Linked DNA regions of Caenorhabditis elegans. The protein of the gene in region 2 interacts with the protein of the main gene of each other region in a pairwise test. Each region holds a gene or a part of one and is shown on either strand. Other genes may lie near its edges.

Region 1 (4,490 bases), on a different chromosome or scaffold from region 2:
ATATGTTTTTTTTGTTCGAAACCGCAGCTAAAAAATTAAACAATATTATTTAAATCGATAATTTCAGTAAAAACGGAGAACGACGTTAAACCATGAATGATGACGATCCAACCACCGTCGTCGTCATCAGCAACAGAGTTTTGTCAGCCAGACGAAAGCACATTCCTTGTTGGTTTTAATAGGGTATGTAGATTTTTTCCGGAAAATCAAAAAAAAAAAACAAAAAATCCAAAATTTATCGTTTTTCGATTTTCTAAAGTTTCGCAAAAAATCTTACAGGACAGAAAATAGACCGTAATGAAGGAATATAACTGTACAAAAATTTACAAAAATGTTCTAACTTTTTAAAATGGATTTTCCTATTTTCCAAAAAAAAAAGACTAATTATTTATTAATTCCCTCTCGAAATTCAATGGTTTTATTGATTTTCTCTTTAAAATTTTGATTTCTTCCGGGTTATCGAGTTTTCGTTTTTGCATTAGTTTTTTTGCAAAATTGAAAAATTCATTAAAAATAATTTTACAGTTATATTCGATCATTTTCTATAACTTAAAGCAAAATCCTTAATCGGTCCTCACAGCACATTTAAAATGTGATTCTACAGGTTCGAAGATACGGCACAACCCAAAGTCAATCTTCACCAGTTACACCATGTTCATATACAATTTACCAAGTTCAAACCGATGATACACTTGAAAGAATAGCATTAAAGCATAATTGTTCGGTTGGTTCCATTTGTTTCTCCTTATCTGTTGTTCATGTACGATTTCAGGTTTCATCTCTCGTTCGTGCAAACAAGCTTTGGTCTCCCAGCGCCTTGTTCATGAAGCAATTCATTAGAATACCCATTTTCAATTCACAACAACCTAATCTCAAACCATCTTTGCAAGAAACTCAATGCAAAATTGTGCCTGCCACTACTGAACGGGTCGACAGTAGCCGAGAAGAAAAATCTATGAAAGATATTTTACAGCGCATAGATCGGAACATCAAATCGTTTCGGAAATGTGATAACCCTAGCAGCTCAGCTTATGATCATATTTAAATTATTTTTGAAATAAATCTGTTGTCAAAGTAAATCGTTCTGGAAATTTAAACAATGCGTTCAACAAATTAAATCGGTTATTAACAAAAAAGTTTATCAACAACAGAATACTTATTTCTTCACGTTGGCCTTTGAAGCCTTGCGGAGGATAGAAGCATATGGGTTCAACTTGTACAAGAGGGTTCTCTTCTTGAGTGGGTTGCGGTGGACCTTTGGAAGCACTGGGTTCTTCTTTGGAGCTCTGATAGCCTTAACGACCTCTTCGGAACGGATGATGCGGGAGAAGTCGGAGTTGGCCATGATTGGGAGTGGGACAGACCATCCCTTCTTGAGTTGAGAAGAGTTGGCAACGGTGGTTCCGTAGATGGTATCAAGCTTCTTGAAGGCAGACTCGGTCCAGATGATAAGACGTCCGAGATGTCCTCCTGGGGCGAGCTTGAGAAGGTTGAGTCTCTCAACATTCATGACATCGACTCCTGGGATGTTGCGGAAGGCACGAGCGCACTCAGCATCTTGTCCGTAGATAACAACTGGTCCGAGCTTCTGCTTGTGTTGACGGTTGCGGAGCTTTCCCTTTCCGGCGCGGTTTCTCTTCGAGTTGTAAACCTTAAAACTGTTACGTTAAAAACAAATTTAATTTTTTTAAATGGTATACCTTCTCGATATCAGCCCACAAGTGGGAGCGACGGAGGAAGACGACGGCCTCCTTGGTCTTGCGGAAGCTTTCGACCTTGTCGGAAACAACAAGTGGGACCTCAGCGACCTAAAAAATAGTACTGTAAATAGGAACAAAACTTTTAAAAAAGTTTACTTACTTGATCGATGACGTGTCCACGAGCTTGGAGAAGAGCTGGGATTCCGGAGGCAGCAATAGCTGAGGAAACAGCGTATCTCTTCTGGGCAATGTTGACGTTGCGGTGCCAGCGGCGGAACACCTTGAGTGGGGCGAACATGTGTCCTCCACGGCACATATTTCCGAAAGCTCCCTGTCCGGAACGGTGGGTACCTCCTCCGCGAACACGTGGAATACGGGCAACGGCACGTCCAGTTCCCCAGGACTCAGCAGAGTGTTGCTTTCCTGAAATAAATAGTAATTGAGGAACACAGAAGTTAGTTTGAAATTAAAATAATCAATAACCGAATCTAATTATGTCACTTACCGGCCTTGGTGTTAACGGCATGGGCCTGTCTTCTGTTTCTGCGGACCTGATCGGCGATGAAGCTCACCAAGTCTGGGCGGATTGGAGTACGGAAAACGGCTGGGAGCCGGATTTGAGATTGAGTGGCCTCGTACTTTTCATCGTACACAGTCACGAGCGGTCTGGCCGCCATTATTACCTGCAATCAACAGAAATAGTAAAAAATAGATTAATTTTAAAAGAAAATGATTCAAAAAATGCGAGAAGAGTAAAGAAAAAATGATGATATTTTAGGCAATATTCAGATTTTTCGACCGAAACAGGCTTAGGATATTCAAAACCTTATTTTAATACATTCCAAATGTGAAAATATCACCGAAAATCTTTTTTATATTGAAAAAACGAAAAAAGTTCCTAAAAAATTTCAGAAAACAGGGAAATCGTGTTTAAAGGGAGGCAAAAATTAGGGTATTGGCTGAGTATCCAACGTCGGGGTCTCGCCGCGATGAGACGAAATGTCGGCAGGCAACTTGTGTCAATTTACGAGGGCGCGGTATCCGCTGATTTCAAACCCGATCCTTCCATTTTCTTGCTTAAAAACGTTTTCAAATAGTTTAATTGTGTTTTTACTTGTTTCAATACATAAGTGTTTGGGATAGATGCTGTCTTCTACATCAACATTCTTTCCTCTCGTGAAAATCGACTACAAGCGAATGGAATTATTGCGGAAAGCGGCACAGATGAAAAATTTCCGTGTAAATGAGGATACGCTGAGAAAATTGAACGACGTTGAAACAGTTGGTATGTGTTTTACAATAATATGTTTTGTTAAATAATTGAGTTTTCAGGTGAGATAATTTCCACAACACCGTCGACATCGTCAGTTGAATCATCAGGATTTCGAAGAAATGCGAAAAGAAAAATGGACGATGATTCGAACACCAGTATGTTTTCAGAAGAACAATGCTCTCATTGTGGATGCCGAATGCTTCGAGTTGTTGATCCAGGACGTCCCGATCGTATGATGGTTCTGGAGTGTATGCGCTCAAATTGTCTGGCATCTGTGAAACTTACTGATCTTCCAGTTGGGACGGTCATTGGAAAGGAAATTAGTTTGGTAAGTTGATAATTTATTTTGAAATTAAAAACAATCATTTTATTTTCAGACTCCGAAATCCGCCTACAACACTCTAGCTCGCTACTATCCCAAAAACCGTTACACTCCGGAATTGGATTCATTCGATCAGGAACAACATGGAAAGCGTAAAGCGAATGTCAAGATTTTTGAGTCATCTGCAAGAGGAATATTCATTGATGTTCCAGGACAAGACACCAAAGCTCGCTTTGTGGCATAATTTTAATATTAATCGTTAAATTACTAGTAATATGCCGGGTTGATCACAAAACCAAAAAGCCAACGCTGTATTAATTTTCACTTCCGATTTACTGAACGATCTGAATTGTCTGATAAATATCAAGTTTATAAAAGTAACATAAAACGATATTTCTTCAAACATTTATTTTTCCCGAATTTAATACAGTGCAAAAAAAATTAAATATGACTAGTTGATCAGAGGGGAGTGTGTCACAACCTTCGAATGCCTATAAAGCGACCAGTAGAACAAGAGAAAATAGAGATTCTGAGAGAGTTTAAACAATGTTTCTAAGAGAGATGCTACTCGTCCGATAGACTATCCATAAGATGTTCATTGTCCGGCGATAATGATTCCACTTTTCGTACTCGTTTTGAAAGCCCTTTTCGTATTGAAGTTGACGGATTTTGTGCATATGCAGCGCCAACGAATGCCACGAGGATCGGAATCGATGCAATAACTTGTGCCAGTGTTGGAGCTTTGCTTCGAATCACTGTATCGGCGAGGAATGACAGAGGAATGCTTACAGTCATTGATAGGCAGGTGGTGAGAGAATCACACATTCCAGCGGCAAGAAGCCAAAGGTAATCAGCGACAATTGTTCCTGAAATTAAAAAAAAAATTAATATTAAAAATACTCATTAATACAATAAATCTCACCAATGAGCGCAGAAAATAAAATTGACGAGAACTGTGTAGCATTTGGAAGTGGATGTAATGGTTCTACACCAAATCTATCCAACAAATTTAATGTAGGTGTTCCAAGAACCAAAGCGATGACTCCGATTGCTCCAAACATCAAATTAATATCCAGTTTTCCATATTTTTCCTCAAAATGGCCAAATGCAAAAAGATAAACTGCATAAGCAAGAGCAGACATCTGAGCAAAAAGTGCTCCAAGAAATGATGGAATATAATGAGAAACGATAAGAA
Region 2 (8,596 bases):
GTAATCTACCAAAAGGGGATCCTGGCACAACGCAATTTTTCATGAAGAAAACGATACAACAAAGCACAGATATTACGCATCGCGATATACGTATCCCCTTTTCGTATGGCCTCAGATTTGCGCTTAATTATCATCAAGGAAGAAGAATTGTCCGCTCTTCTTTTGGTCAACATCCTTCACCGAGTCGAGTTTATTGATGCGTGGGCGATATGTTTCCTGATCACGACGGAAAGTGATATCCAACATTTTCAAGAATCGATTCATTCCTTCCAGCAGGGATTGGGGTCTGAAAAATCAATGATTTTTATTTTGGTTTAATTTTAAAAAAATACAGAAAAAAAACGTAATACGCCAGTGGAGAAATTACTTTAAAACACGCCTATGGTACCACAATTACCGAATATCATGATTAAAAAATTCAAAAAAAATTTCTAGATTTTATATGATTTTTTAAAAATTGGAAAAATCACAGTTTTCATCCAATTATTTTTGAATTTCCGCCAATTGGATTTGTTCGATGGAGCGCACTTGCATTATTTTTATTAATTAATTTAATTTATTCTCGTTATTTCACTGATTTTCTTCATTTTCTATGTTTTTTAATACGAAAATAAAAGAAATAATTAAGACAAATGCAAAATGTTTGTTAAAAAGTATTTCAAAATGGGTAAAACTGTGAAATATACTAATTTCAGACTTGTTGCCGTCGGAACTCAATATATCACAGTTTTACGCATTTTCAATTACTTTTTAACGAATTTAAGTTTTTGTTTTAAAAAAATTAGATTTTTTATTTTATACAAATTTTTGGCCAAATTTGGATTTTTGTTGGTTTATTCTAAAGATAGTTTTTTTTTAAAATAAGTTTTTAAAATTAATTTTTCTTGACCAAAATTGGATTTTTGGCAAAAAATGGATTTGTCGGTTTTTTTAAAATTTTTCGACAAGAAATGTATTTTTTTTTGGTTTTTTAAAAATTATTGTTTGGCAAAAATCGTAGTTTTGTTTTGACAAAAATTAGATGTTTTGTTTTTTTTTTGGGAAAAAATCGTTTATGTTTGTTGGTTTTTTGAATAATTGTTTGTCAGAAAAAGTTTTTTTTTTGGATTATAAGAAATCTTTTTTTAGCGAAAAATTGAATTTGTTGGTATTATATTAAGGTGTTTTGCGATTTTTTAGGCGAAAAAATGGTGTTTTTTGATTTTTGTTAAATTTTTTGGCAAAAAATTAGATTTTTTGGTTTTTTTTTAAATTTTCATTTGTCTTGTTTATTTCTTCCTTTTTCCGAGGAAAAAACATAGAAAATGAAGAAAATCAGTCAAATAACGAGAATAAATAAAATTAATTGAAATTAATTAATAAAAACAATGCAAGCGCGCTCCATCGAACAAATCAAATTAGCAGGAAATTCAAAAATAATTAGGTGAAAACTGTGATTTTTCCAATTTTCAAAAAATCATATAAAATCTAGAAATTTTTTTTTTGAATTTTTTAACCATGATGGTCATTGTGACCCCATAGGCATGTTTTAAATTTTTTTGACAAATTATTACCGTATTTCTTTTATTAATATGGCTGCAATACTATTTTTCGATGGTCTTCCCGCTTGCAATACTATTAGGGAGTGCAATACTAATTTTCAGAACATTTTTCTGACTTTGAGCTTACTATTTTTGTTCTGAAAAAACTCGAATCTTATGTAAAAATTCAGAAAATTTGATTGAAATTGCAACAAAAAAGTTCAATAACTTCAATCTTATAAAAATTTTCACGAAAATTATTGAAAACGACGCAGAAAATGTTGTTAAAATATTAAATTTAGTGAGGCGCGGGTTTGCACCGAAAAAAAGTAGAGACGCAAGACTATTAGGGAGTGCAACACTAAAAGGGAGTGCAATACTAATTTTCGGAGGGTGTTCAAGGTGCAATACTAATAGGGAGTGCAAGTCTAATAGGGAGGCCATACTAATAGAAGAAATACGGTATACAGTGCATTTTTTTTTTCAACTTCTTCGACTTTAAAGGCGCGCGCATTTTCGAGCAATGGTCTCGCCACGCGCATCCCATTGATTTGTTGAGCGCGTGGCGAGACCAATGACGAGACCATTTTGTATAAATGCGCGCGTCTTTAAAGTTGTAGAATGGGGAAAAAATGCACTGTATTTCTCACTAATAAACAATAAACTCACTTGCAAGCCGTACACTTGACCGACGGTTGACCTTCGAAAACGACGACTCTGTCGGCCAAATAGGTAGCCATAATGAAATCGTGCTCGACAACAAACGCCGTCTTCTTGGCATGCATAATGAATCTTTTGATCACTTTTGCCGCGTGAAGACGTTGCTCCGAATCCAGGTAAGCTGATGGCTCATCGATAAGGTACAAACTGGCGGTTTTTCCGAGGCAAAGGGCAAGAGCGACACGTTGTAATTCTCCTCCCGAAAGTTCTTTCACCTGTAATTGAGTTTGGTCAGGTTTAAAAAAAATTAAATCTTCGTTTTTCTATAAAAAATTTGCAAAAATTGGATTATTTTGTAAACTTTTTGACAAAAAAAGAAAACATTTTGGTTTTTAAAAGTATTCTGGCTCTAATGGATATTTTTTTTCGGATTTTTTGGTTTTTAAAATTATTTTTTGGCAAAAACTTGATTTTATAATTAACAAAAAACTTTTTTTTTTTGTTTCCTAATAATTATTTGGCAAAAATTATTACAGGAGCACAAAATTCTGAGAATGCGTATTGAGCAACATATTTGAAACGCAAAATATCTCGTAGCGAAAACTACAGTAATCCTGTTTAAATGACTACTGTAGTGCTTGTGTCAATTTACGGCGTTTCGAAAATCATCGAGCCCTTAAATCGACACCAGCGCTACTGTAGTCATTTAAACTGGATTACTGTAGTTCTCCCTTCGAGATATTTTGCGCGTCAAATATGTTGCTCAATACGCATTCTCAGAATTTTGTGTACACATAATAGATTTTCCCAAACAAATTTTGCCAAAAAGTTTCCAAAATAATCCAATTTTTGCGAATTTATTACGGAAAAACGAAAAAAAATTTTTTTTTTTCAAAAATTGGATTTTTTCGGTTCCTAATAAAATTTGTTAGAAAAAATATTGGATTTTTTGGTTTTTTTTTAAATTTTTCAGACCAAAAACTGTCTTTCCAAAAGTTTTAGTGGTGAGAACGATTTTCAAAGCTGAAATTTTCAGTATTTTTCGATTTTTAGTGGCAATTCTGAATTCTGAAGATCAATTAGCACATTTTGAAGCAAAATCGCAAAATCCCCATTCACGATTCTTCAAAAACTCTCACATTTCGATCCAACAACTGTTCCATCATCAACGGATTCATCACATCCGTCTTGAATTGTGGATGCTCGTACATGTTCTGAATCTTATCGTGAAGCATGAAGCGTACAGTAGTCTCAGATTTCGGTGAGATCTTCTGCGGCTTGTACGAGATGCTGACGTGCGGGAGCTCAGTGTTCTCATCTTCAGGCTTCAACGATCCAGCCATCATCTTGATCATCGTCGTCTTTCCTGTACCGTTTTCTCCGAGCATCACGATGATTTCCGAGTCGGAAAAGTCGCCGGCTTCAACGTCCAAATGGAAGTTCCCAAGCGTTTTTGACATTGACGGGTACTTAATATTTCCAGTTCTCTTGATATCCTCCTGCTGCTCCGATGTCTTGAAAGAGAGCTTTGACTCTCTGAATCTCATATTTTCAGTCCGAATGAATCCTTCCAAGAACATGTTGATACCTTCACGAACACCAGATGGCAGAGTAACAACTCCATAAACTCCAGGAACTCCGTACAAGCAGCAAATGAAATCAGATAAATAATCGAGAACTGCCAAGTCGTGTTCAACAACTACAACATAGTTCGTATCACTGACACGCTCGCGGATGATCGCGGCAGCCTTCAGACGTTGCTTGACATCAAGGTAAGAGGATGGTTCATCGAACATGTAGACGTCGGCTTTTTGAACACAGCACATTGCGATCGCGAAACGTTGGAGTTCTCCGCCGGAGAGTTGGTCGATTTCACGATCCAGAAGGCCACGAAGCTCTGAAAAATACATGGTTTTTTTATTTTTTTACATTTTTTACATTTTTTACATTTTTTTACATGGTATATTATTACGGCAAAAAAAATTTGAAAATTTTTTTTTTCGGTTTTTTGAAAATAGCTCAAAAATTCGCCCATTTTCTTAATTTTCGAAAAAAAAAATTTGAGGCACCACGTTTTCAAGATCTGTTCAAAAACAAGATCTACGTTTTCAGAATCTGGCACCGTGCCAGCTGCGGCTTTCTCGGTGAAAACCGAAACAACGATGCTCCGATGTTACGCGTCGCGTGTTGTTTAGCGTTCAGAAAAATATTTTTTTGAAATTTTCATCTAGAAGATACGCTTAACAACACACGACTCGTAACATCGGAGCATCGTTGTTTCGTTTTTCATCGAGAAAACCGCAGTTAGCACGGTGCCAGATTCTGAAAACGTAGATCTTGTTTTCGTAGATCTTGTTTTTGAACAGATCTTGAAAACGTGGTGCCTCTACATTACAAGTAAAAACATTATTTTATTTAAAAAATCTACAAAAAAAACCGTGCCGCAGGGTTGCGAACTGACGCTCCGCCTATTTTTCTGTGCGACGCTCCGTTCTTTGCAAAATTCAGACGGAAATTGATTTTAAAAATTTGCATGGTTCAAATTACTACGGTAAAATTTTTGTTTTTCTCGAAAATCGCTTAAAAATTCGCCCATTTTTCTTAATTTTCGAAAAAAAAAATGACAAAATGGGGATTTTGGGTGTTTTTTAAAAAATTTTTTTTGATAAAAACTTAAATTTTTAGTTATTTTTGGCAAAAATTGGATTCATTGGTTTTTTAAAAAAACATTTTTTCAGACCAAAAAGCTGTTAATTTTCAGTGGGGAGAAGAAAAAATTCCATTTTTTTTCTAGTTTTTGGAGAGATTTGATTTTAGAAGCTTTGAAAATATTTTTTTTTTAATTGTCTTGATTTTTCTCTGAAAAATTGGCCTCCAAACGACAAATTTTTGTTTAATGCAAAAAGGCGTGCGCCTTTAAAGAGTACTGTAGCTTCAAAATTTTGATGGTGCGGACGTTTTTAAATCGATTTTTATAGTACTGTTGAAATTAAACGGCCGATCCGTGCGAATTTTGCAAAAAAAATGCTGCGTCGCACAGAAAAAGAGGCGGAGCGTCATTTTGCAACCTTGCGGCACGGTTTTTTGGTGATTTTTTTAAAAACAAAATATTAATTTTACATGTTTTTTGTTGCGAAACATGGATATTTTTTAAATCAAATTTCTTCGTTTTTAGCGAATTTCGGCGTTTTCGTTTCAATTTTTCTCAGGAAAATCACTCATTTTTCAGTTTTTCACCGAAAAATAGTGAAAAAAACGACTTAAACGTAAAATTTTCGCTGAAAAATACGAATCCCAGCCAATTTTCCGCCGAAAAAACCTACCCATTTGATCAATAACCGAGTTCAAATTGTCATTATCGTGCTTTCGGGTCAAATTTTTCTCAACAGTTCCCTTGGCAGCTCTTGGAATCTGATCGACATATTGTGGCTTGATGACACACTTCAAAGTATCCTCCAAAATTCGCGTAAAGTAATTCTGGAGTTCTGAACCTCGAAAATGGTTGATAATAGTCGTCCACTCTTGCTCTTTTTGGAAATTTCCCAAATTTGGCTTCTGTTTTCCGGCCAGAATTTTCAGTGCCGTCGATTTTCCGATTCCATTTGTTCCGACGAGTCCGAGGACTTCTCCACAGCGAGGAGTTGGCAGGCGATGCAACTTGAAGGAATTCTGCGAGTAACGATGAGTGGTCTCATTTGCCAGATTTGCTGGGAGATTGATGATTTTGATTGCGTCATATGGGCACTTCTTCACGCAGATACCACATCCAATGCACAAGATTTCGGAAATTTGAGAAATCGTGGAAGTTGCCTCGACGACAATACACTGTTTTCCTGGATATTTGTTGCAATTATTTGTGAAAAAGAAACCGAGGATTTAAATACCTTGTCTGTTCACTGGGCAAGCTCTTTTGCACGCCAGACCACAATTTTTCGGCTTGCAGCGATCTTTTTCCACAATAGCAATACGCAGTGGCACGTCCGTCTCGTTGTTTTTTATTAATGGGCCTTTTCGACTCATTTTTCGTTCGTTTTACCTGAAAAACGCGATGAAATTGAATAAGAAACGTGTTTTTTAGGCAAAAATTGTTAGAAAATTCATATTTTAGAGGAAATTTCTTAAATTAGAGCGCGCTGGTTTAAAGGGACATAGCATGGGTCTCGCCGCCTTTTTTGTTCGTTTTACCTCAAAAATCAATGAAATTGGATGGAAAACGTGGTTTTTAGCACGGAAACAAGCTAGAAAATCAATAATTTCACCGAAAAACTCAAAAAAATGCTCAAGCAGAAATAACTCGAAATTCCCGATATTTTGGGTCGTTTTTTCAAGTCCTAACCATTGAAAAAGGCAAAAAAAAAATTTTTTCAGCGAAAATTCATAAATTCAAGTAAAACAGCAGGTTTTGCATAGTTAATGTTCGATTTTTCAACAGAAAATATATGAAAAATGCTTGAAACATCTAGAATACATGGAAAATAGGAAAAAAAAACAAAAAAAAATTTGATAGAAAACGTGTCTTTTTAGCAGGAAATTGACGTGGCAAGCTAGAAAATCAACAATTTCACCGAAAATTTATCGAAAAACGTAGAGAAATTGCTAAAATTTGCGGAGACCGCCTCTTGAGTGCCCCCGATTATCGCAATATTCCACAATGTTGTGCAATTATAAAAAACAAGCTATATAAGCCTCAAATAGGCAGAAATAACTCGTTTTAAGTGAGATTTCAACAATTTCAAGTGCAATTTTAAAAATTCCCAATATTTTTGGTAATTTTTTTAGTTGAGAAAAGGCAATTTTCGACGGAAAATCATAAATTAAGGTAAAACTTTAGATTTTACATAATTAAAGTCTGAGTTTTCAACAAAAAACAAATAAAAAATTGCCTAAAAACCCTAGAAAACCAGAAAAATAGGCTGAAAAGCTACATGTGGCGTGTAAAAATACTGAAAAAAAAAGAGTACAGTGGAGCGCGCTTGCTTCGCGGCTTCTCTGCGTCTCTCGATTTCGCATAGTCTCTCCATGTCGCCATGACGAAGAAGTGCTCGGCTGAACATTAATTTTTCCAATTTTCTACTATTTTTCTGATTTATTGATCTCAAAATGAGGTAATTTTTTATTTTTTTAATTTAAAATTCGCAAAATTTATCGATAATTCATTAAATTTTCAACCTTCCAGCAACGAAAGCAGTGAAACCATGACAAAAAAAGAGGAAGAAGCCGAAAAAAAGATTGAAATTCAAATCGAAGAGCACATTAAATTATTTGAGGATCCAACAGCGTCTTTCGAGGAGAAAATGAAGATTCTCGTGAAAGTTCCGACCGAATTACAGGTTTTTGAGTGCCCGGAGCGGTGAAAAAATGCGAAAAATCGAAAAATTCCAGCATAATCTTCTAAATCGAGAGCGCTCCGATCGGTTATTCGCCAGTATTCCAATTGAGATGTTTCAGAGGATTTTTGAGCCAATGCATGAAGAATATGCCCAGTAAGATTTGGATTTTCGGGGGAAAAATTGAATTTTTCATTTTTTTTTTGCAAGAAAAACGCAATTTTTGAGTTTAAAATGCAAAAATGTATCGATTTTCACTTAAAAAATGGTAAATATAGATCATTTTTAATGTTAAAACCGCGCAAATAAGCTCCTAAAACAAGAATTTCTGCCAAAAACTGTAAAACTTGTAGTACGAAATCCTAAAAACCGTTTTAAAGATTTTTGATCATTTTTCTGTGTATTTAATGACTAATAATTGCAATTTTTCATATAAAAATCGATTAAAACGACAAATTATCCGGTTACCGCAATGACTTTTATCAATTTTTTTTTAATTTCCAATTTTTCATCGGAGAGAAAACGCGCTCCATTGCAATCCTCCGAAAAAGTTCGCAATAGAGCGCGATTGCAGAAAATCTGAAAAAAATACAGTTTTTGGCAAAAAAAAACCCGAAAATTTAAGCTAATAAACTGCGAAAAATGGAAATTACTACGAGTTTTCAAAAAAAAAAAATTTTTTTTTCAATTTCTTAAAAAATTCTTTAAAAATTTTCCAAAAAAAAATTTCCAAGAAAAAATTTTTTTTCCAGCGCTCGACCAATTCTCATCCACATTCTGTCGTTCCTATGCCAATGCACATCTCCAGAAGTTCATTTAAAATTCAAAATTCTCATGGAAAATGTGATAAAATCAGTTGCTCCGCGAGGAAATAAGGCTGAAATGAATAGTACTGTCTATAACGATATGTCACTTATTGTGGCGGTTTGGGCGAATACGGTAGGCGGTTTTTTTGTAGGAAAAACCTGAAATTTCTGCGATTTTTAGGCCAAAACTACGCTTAAAAAATTAGAAAAAAAATTTCGATTTTTTTTTTAAAAGCGCGAAAATTCGCCATTTTCCTTATTCTTCTGCAAAAAAGAATGGACA
Region 3 (3,619 bases), on a different chromosome or scaffold from region 2:
CGGCACCTTTTTTTTGTTGCGAAAGCCATCTCGAATATTCGATTACTTCAATGATATTCTTATTCATCCTTTAAAAATTTCATATAAATTTCCATTTGAACGTTGTATTTTAATGTCTTTGTGAGGCAAAATACACAATTTTCATGAATTTTTGTTTTTTTTTTTGCCGCATGCCGCACTAATAGAGAATATACGGTAACTAAAAGTTTGTTTTGGGTTATAATTGTTTTTTTTAATTTTATTTTCAAATTTTTAAGTTTATCATGTTGTTTTTATGTTCTTTATATATTTTCTCTATATCCCTGAATACTCCACGATCTAAAAAAAGAATAAGATCATAAAAGCATGTTCATCTACGTCAATTGCAAGCCCATTAACCCAAAATATTGTGAGATATTACATACCAAGAAAATACAAGCAATATATACGTTTTTTAACGATCCTTTTTTGGTAAAAAAATGTGTCAGCAGATTACCGAGAAAATATCTACCAAACATATTTGGGATGTCTAAATGAGAAGTAACAATCTTTTGCTGATTTGCACGAGAAAGCTTAAACCCTTAACATTTTTTAAAAGCCACAGAACCAAACTAAAATAGAAATTTTCCGAGAGCTGTTGAATCTTCGTGGTTTTAAATTAATTCGAGCAGCCCAACTCGTTGCGTAGGTGTTTTGTTTTTAAACACCCACAGGAAGTTCGAAACTTTTTGATAAAGACTGATATGTATTTTATCCTTTTAAATTGAAAAATATTTTTCAATCGTGAAAATAAAACCCATAAAATCAATTCTTGATATATTGGAAAATCTTAGGTAAAAACTCTTCAAAAATAACATTTCTATCCATACCTATAATGAACACCTTCAGTTTGAATGAACATACATTTAAAGTTAATTTTTTGTTTTGAAATATATTGTTTTAACACACAAGTGCCAACAAATTTATACTAAACTATTTCCACAAATCAACGTCTTGGAATGTTAGCTTCCAAAATTTTCAGTAATTTTTCTCCAAAGACTTTTCGGTCGAGGGTCATATTTCTCAGCTTTTCTAGAAAAAAACAAGAATAAAAAACAAGCAGTAACAGGCGGTACGTCTCTCTTATTTATTTTGAAGTCTCTCATATGGTTTGGATTGGCATTGACTAACGATGAATTGATTGGGGTTGAAGAAAATTAGATTGAAAAGTTCTCTGAGTTGATTTTGTACAACTATTTGCTGACACCTGATGTCGGAACTCAATGGGCAGTTGCACAGGTTTCGTTACATTCCAATTTAAAGCATTGATTCATCATGGCCAATGTGAATTTTGCCTCTGCATCGCTTCTCTCTCCAGGCATGTGACCAAAGTAAGCCGTTGTCATCTGAATTTTGAGCTATTATTTTAAAGTCAAATATAATTAAAAATGAGACAACTCGGTCTATGCTTTTCATTTTTTGCGTCTCCTACTTCCTATACCCAAGTCATTTACTCTGTTTGGTCATTACTCACCTCGGCTATTCCAAACCAGCATGCCTTCTTGCAGCATACGCACGGCATTGCAGTTTCCTCCCCTGCGTTACACACGTTTGGCATTAGGGATGATGCAGCTCCCACTGAAAATATTTCAATAAAAAGAAAATGCAACGAGCAATAATTAATAAAAATCAGCTGATATTTTTAGGCGTAAATAATTTTTTGTTTCAATATAACTAACCTTGCGAGTTTTGGCAAGCCAGAAAGGCCACAAGCCCAACGAGAATAGTTGCTTTGATGAACGAGATCATTGTTTTTGGAGAACGAAGGTACCGAATGGAAAGCGCAACGGCTGAAGAAAAAGTAAATTTGAGGAGGTTGCTCGGAGAGCTTTATAGGACGTTGCTCTCTTTTAAGACACGCCCATTTTCCCTGGACAGCACCGCCTCCGGAGCAAAGCATGACGATATTGTAACGATGAAACGGTCGTTTGCCCGTTTCCTAATAGGGTTGGTTGAAAAATAGTGCACATGATTTTAGAGAAGTAGGGATTGAGTTGCGTGTGAACAAAGTATCAGATAAAGATAATAGTTGTATTAGACAATTATATTTATTTGTTTCTAGTTATGTTCAAAACAGTGGAACGAGTTTGTGTTAGTTGCGGAGGTGTTTAGTTAGTTAACGTAGTTCAATTTTTGAGATTAATCCACAAAATAGGAAAACGAAATTCAAAAATAAATAAAGTTGAATATTTTAAAAGTTAATGTATTCAACAATAGTTCTAATCGCATACACTAGAGAATCTCGTATCAGACAACATTATCAGCATTCAGAAGATAAAACTAGACATTGAAGATATTGAAAATTTTGAGAAGACTGGCGAATTTTGCACTTTCATTACTACATCATCTAATTTTAGGGCTTCATGACATAAAAATATTCAACTATATGAATTTGTTTCACACACTAAATTGAGAAAAAAACTAGTCCGGCTTTTTTTTAATAGTTGTTGCCAAACAATTGAACAGTTTTATTTAGTGCGTGTAAGATGTACTGTCATCATTATTCAATAAAAAATTAATTTGTTCGATAAATTCTGTAAGTCTTGACAAGTCGTATTTCGAATACAATAACTTAACTCAATGTTATAGATTTTGCACCCCAAAAGAGTTTTAAAAATTTAAAAAATTTTTCTTGTCTTTTCGAGAAGGTTTGAGCATTGTTGATGGTTTAGACAGTTTCATTATTCAAATACACATAGCTCAATTCTTTTTCCAGACTTCCAAAATCACGATAAACAAAAACTGATTGTAAGCAATTGTCACTTTTTGATAGTTTTCAATTTTCAAAGTTTAATCGATTTTGGTTTGAAAACATTTTTAAATCTAGCGTACAGTAATCTTTTCATTGGCTTGTTTGGTTTTTGTAAAATATCCTGAAATCTCCATGAAATAATTTAGTTCCGGATTTATTAAACGTCAAGAGGAACAAATTTGCACTAAAATCAAACTTCCGGGTTTATCAACAACATCCATGGAGGTTAAAAAGGTTGCTAGCAGGTGGAGCTGCGTCACAGTCATGTTTTTTGCTTTCTTGTTGTTATCCTCGTTGACGTGTGCTCTGATTGAGGATTTGATCCAGAAATAACGGATTGAAAACCTATCATTAAAATTTTTATGCATCCGGTGTGAAAAGAAGTGAAGAATAGGCGAGGGTGTTGAAAATTTTGAAATTCTCGCAAGGATGCGATTACAAATCTGGGGCTTCTTTTAGATTGGTGAAAGAAACAATATCATAAATGTTTTTTTCAAAACATTGAATACTACTACAATCGAGAAAATTTTTAGAAAAGCATTTGTTTGAATTTATAATTATTGAAAACACAATCTTCGAAATGTTTTATGTTTAGAAATGTTCTAAAAAAATTTCAAAATCAAATTCAGATAAACGTTATTCTTCAAAAATTCTTGCAAATTTTCGGTTATGACTACATACTTTAAAAGATCCAACATTGCTGCATCAACATGTGGCTTCACTACAAATGCAATAAACGAAACTATATCACTTCATGCAAAGCAATTTCTACAAAAATTGTTCGGAAACTAATTTTTTGAAAAAGAAATATGAAAATTAATAATGAATATTAATTCCCCTGAAAATCAT

The links.
Region 1: the proteins of abce-1 (region 2) and rpl-4 interact in a two-hybrid assay, tested with the Caenorhabditis elegans proteins (one large-scale study listed by BioGRID).
Region 3: the proteins of abce-1 (region 2) and nssp-86 interact in a two-hybrid assay, tested with the Caenorhabditis elegans proteins (one large-scale study listed by BioGRID).

Annotation. Positions count from the first base shown.
Region 1 is NC_003279.8:4,644,581-4,649,070, forward strand, and holds rpl-4 (Large ribosomal subunit protein uL4), read right to left. Parts: upstream 2,384-4,490; 5' UTR 2,378-2,383; coding exon 2,206-2,377; intron 2,200-2,205; exon of another isoform or gene 2,146-2,199; intron 2,124-2,145; coding exon 1,861-2,123; intron 1,809-1,860; coding exon 1,701-1,808; intron 1,652-1,700; coding exon 1,157-1,651; 3' UTR 1,082-1,156; downstream 1-1,081. Other genes in the region: lmd-2 (LysM domain-containing protein), read left to right, coding at 97-183, 605-724, 773-1,045; B0041.8 (Plus3 domain-containing protein), read left to right, coding at 2,844-2,985, 3,033-3,301, 3,351-3,539; B0041.5 (Solute carrier family 35 member F5), read right to left, coding at 3,860-4,161, 4,218-4,490.
Region 2 is NC_003281.10:13,151,437-13,160,032, reverse strand, and holds the start of abce-1 (ABC transporter, class E), read right to left. Parts: upstream 6,217-8,596; 5' UTR 6,201-6,216; coding exon 6,065-6,200; intron 6,014-6,064; coding exon 5,504-6,013; intron 4,078-5,503; coding exon 3,320-4,077; intron 2,456-3,319; coding exon 2,190-2,455; intron 287-2,189; coding exon 124-286; 3' UTR 1-123. Other genes in the region: Y39E4B.10 (NR LBD domain-containing protein), read left to right, coding at 7,281-7,285, 7,357-7,510, 7,563-7,663, 8,260-8,446.
Region 3 is NC_003284.9:9,521,407-9,525,025, forward strand, and holds nssp-86 (neuronal small secreted protein), read right to left. Parts: upstream 1,813-3,619; 5' UTR 1,768-1,812; coding exon 1,698-1,767; intron 1,597-1,697; coding exon 1,493-1,596; intron 1,365-1,492; coding exon 1,239-1,364; 3' UTR 1,082-1,238; downstream 1-1,081.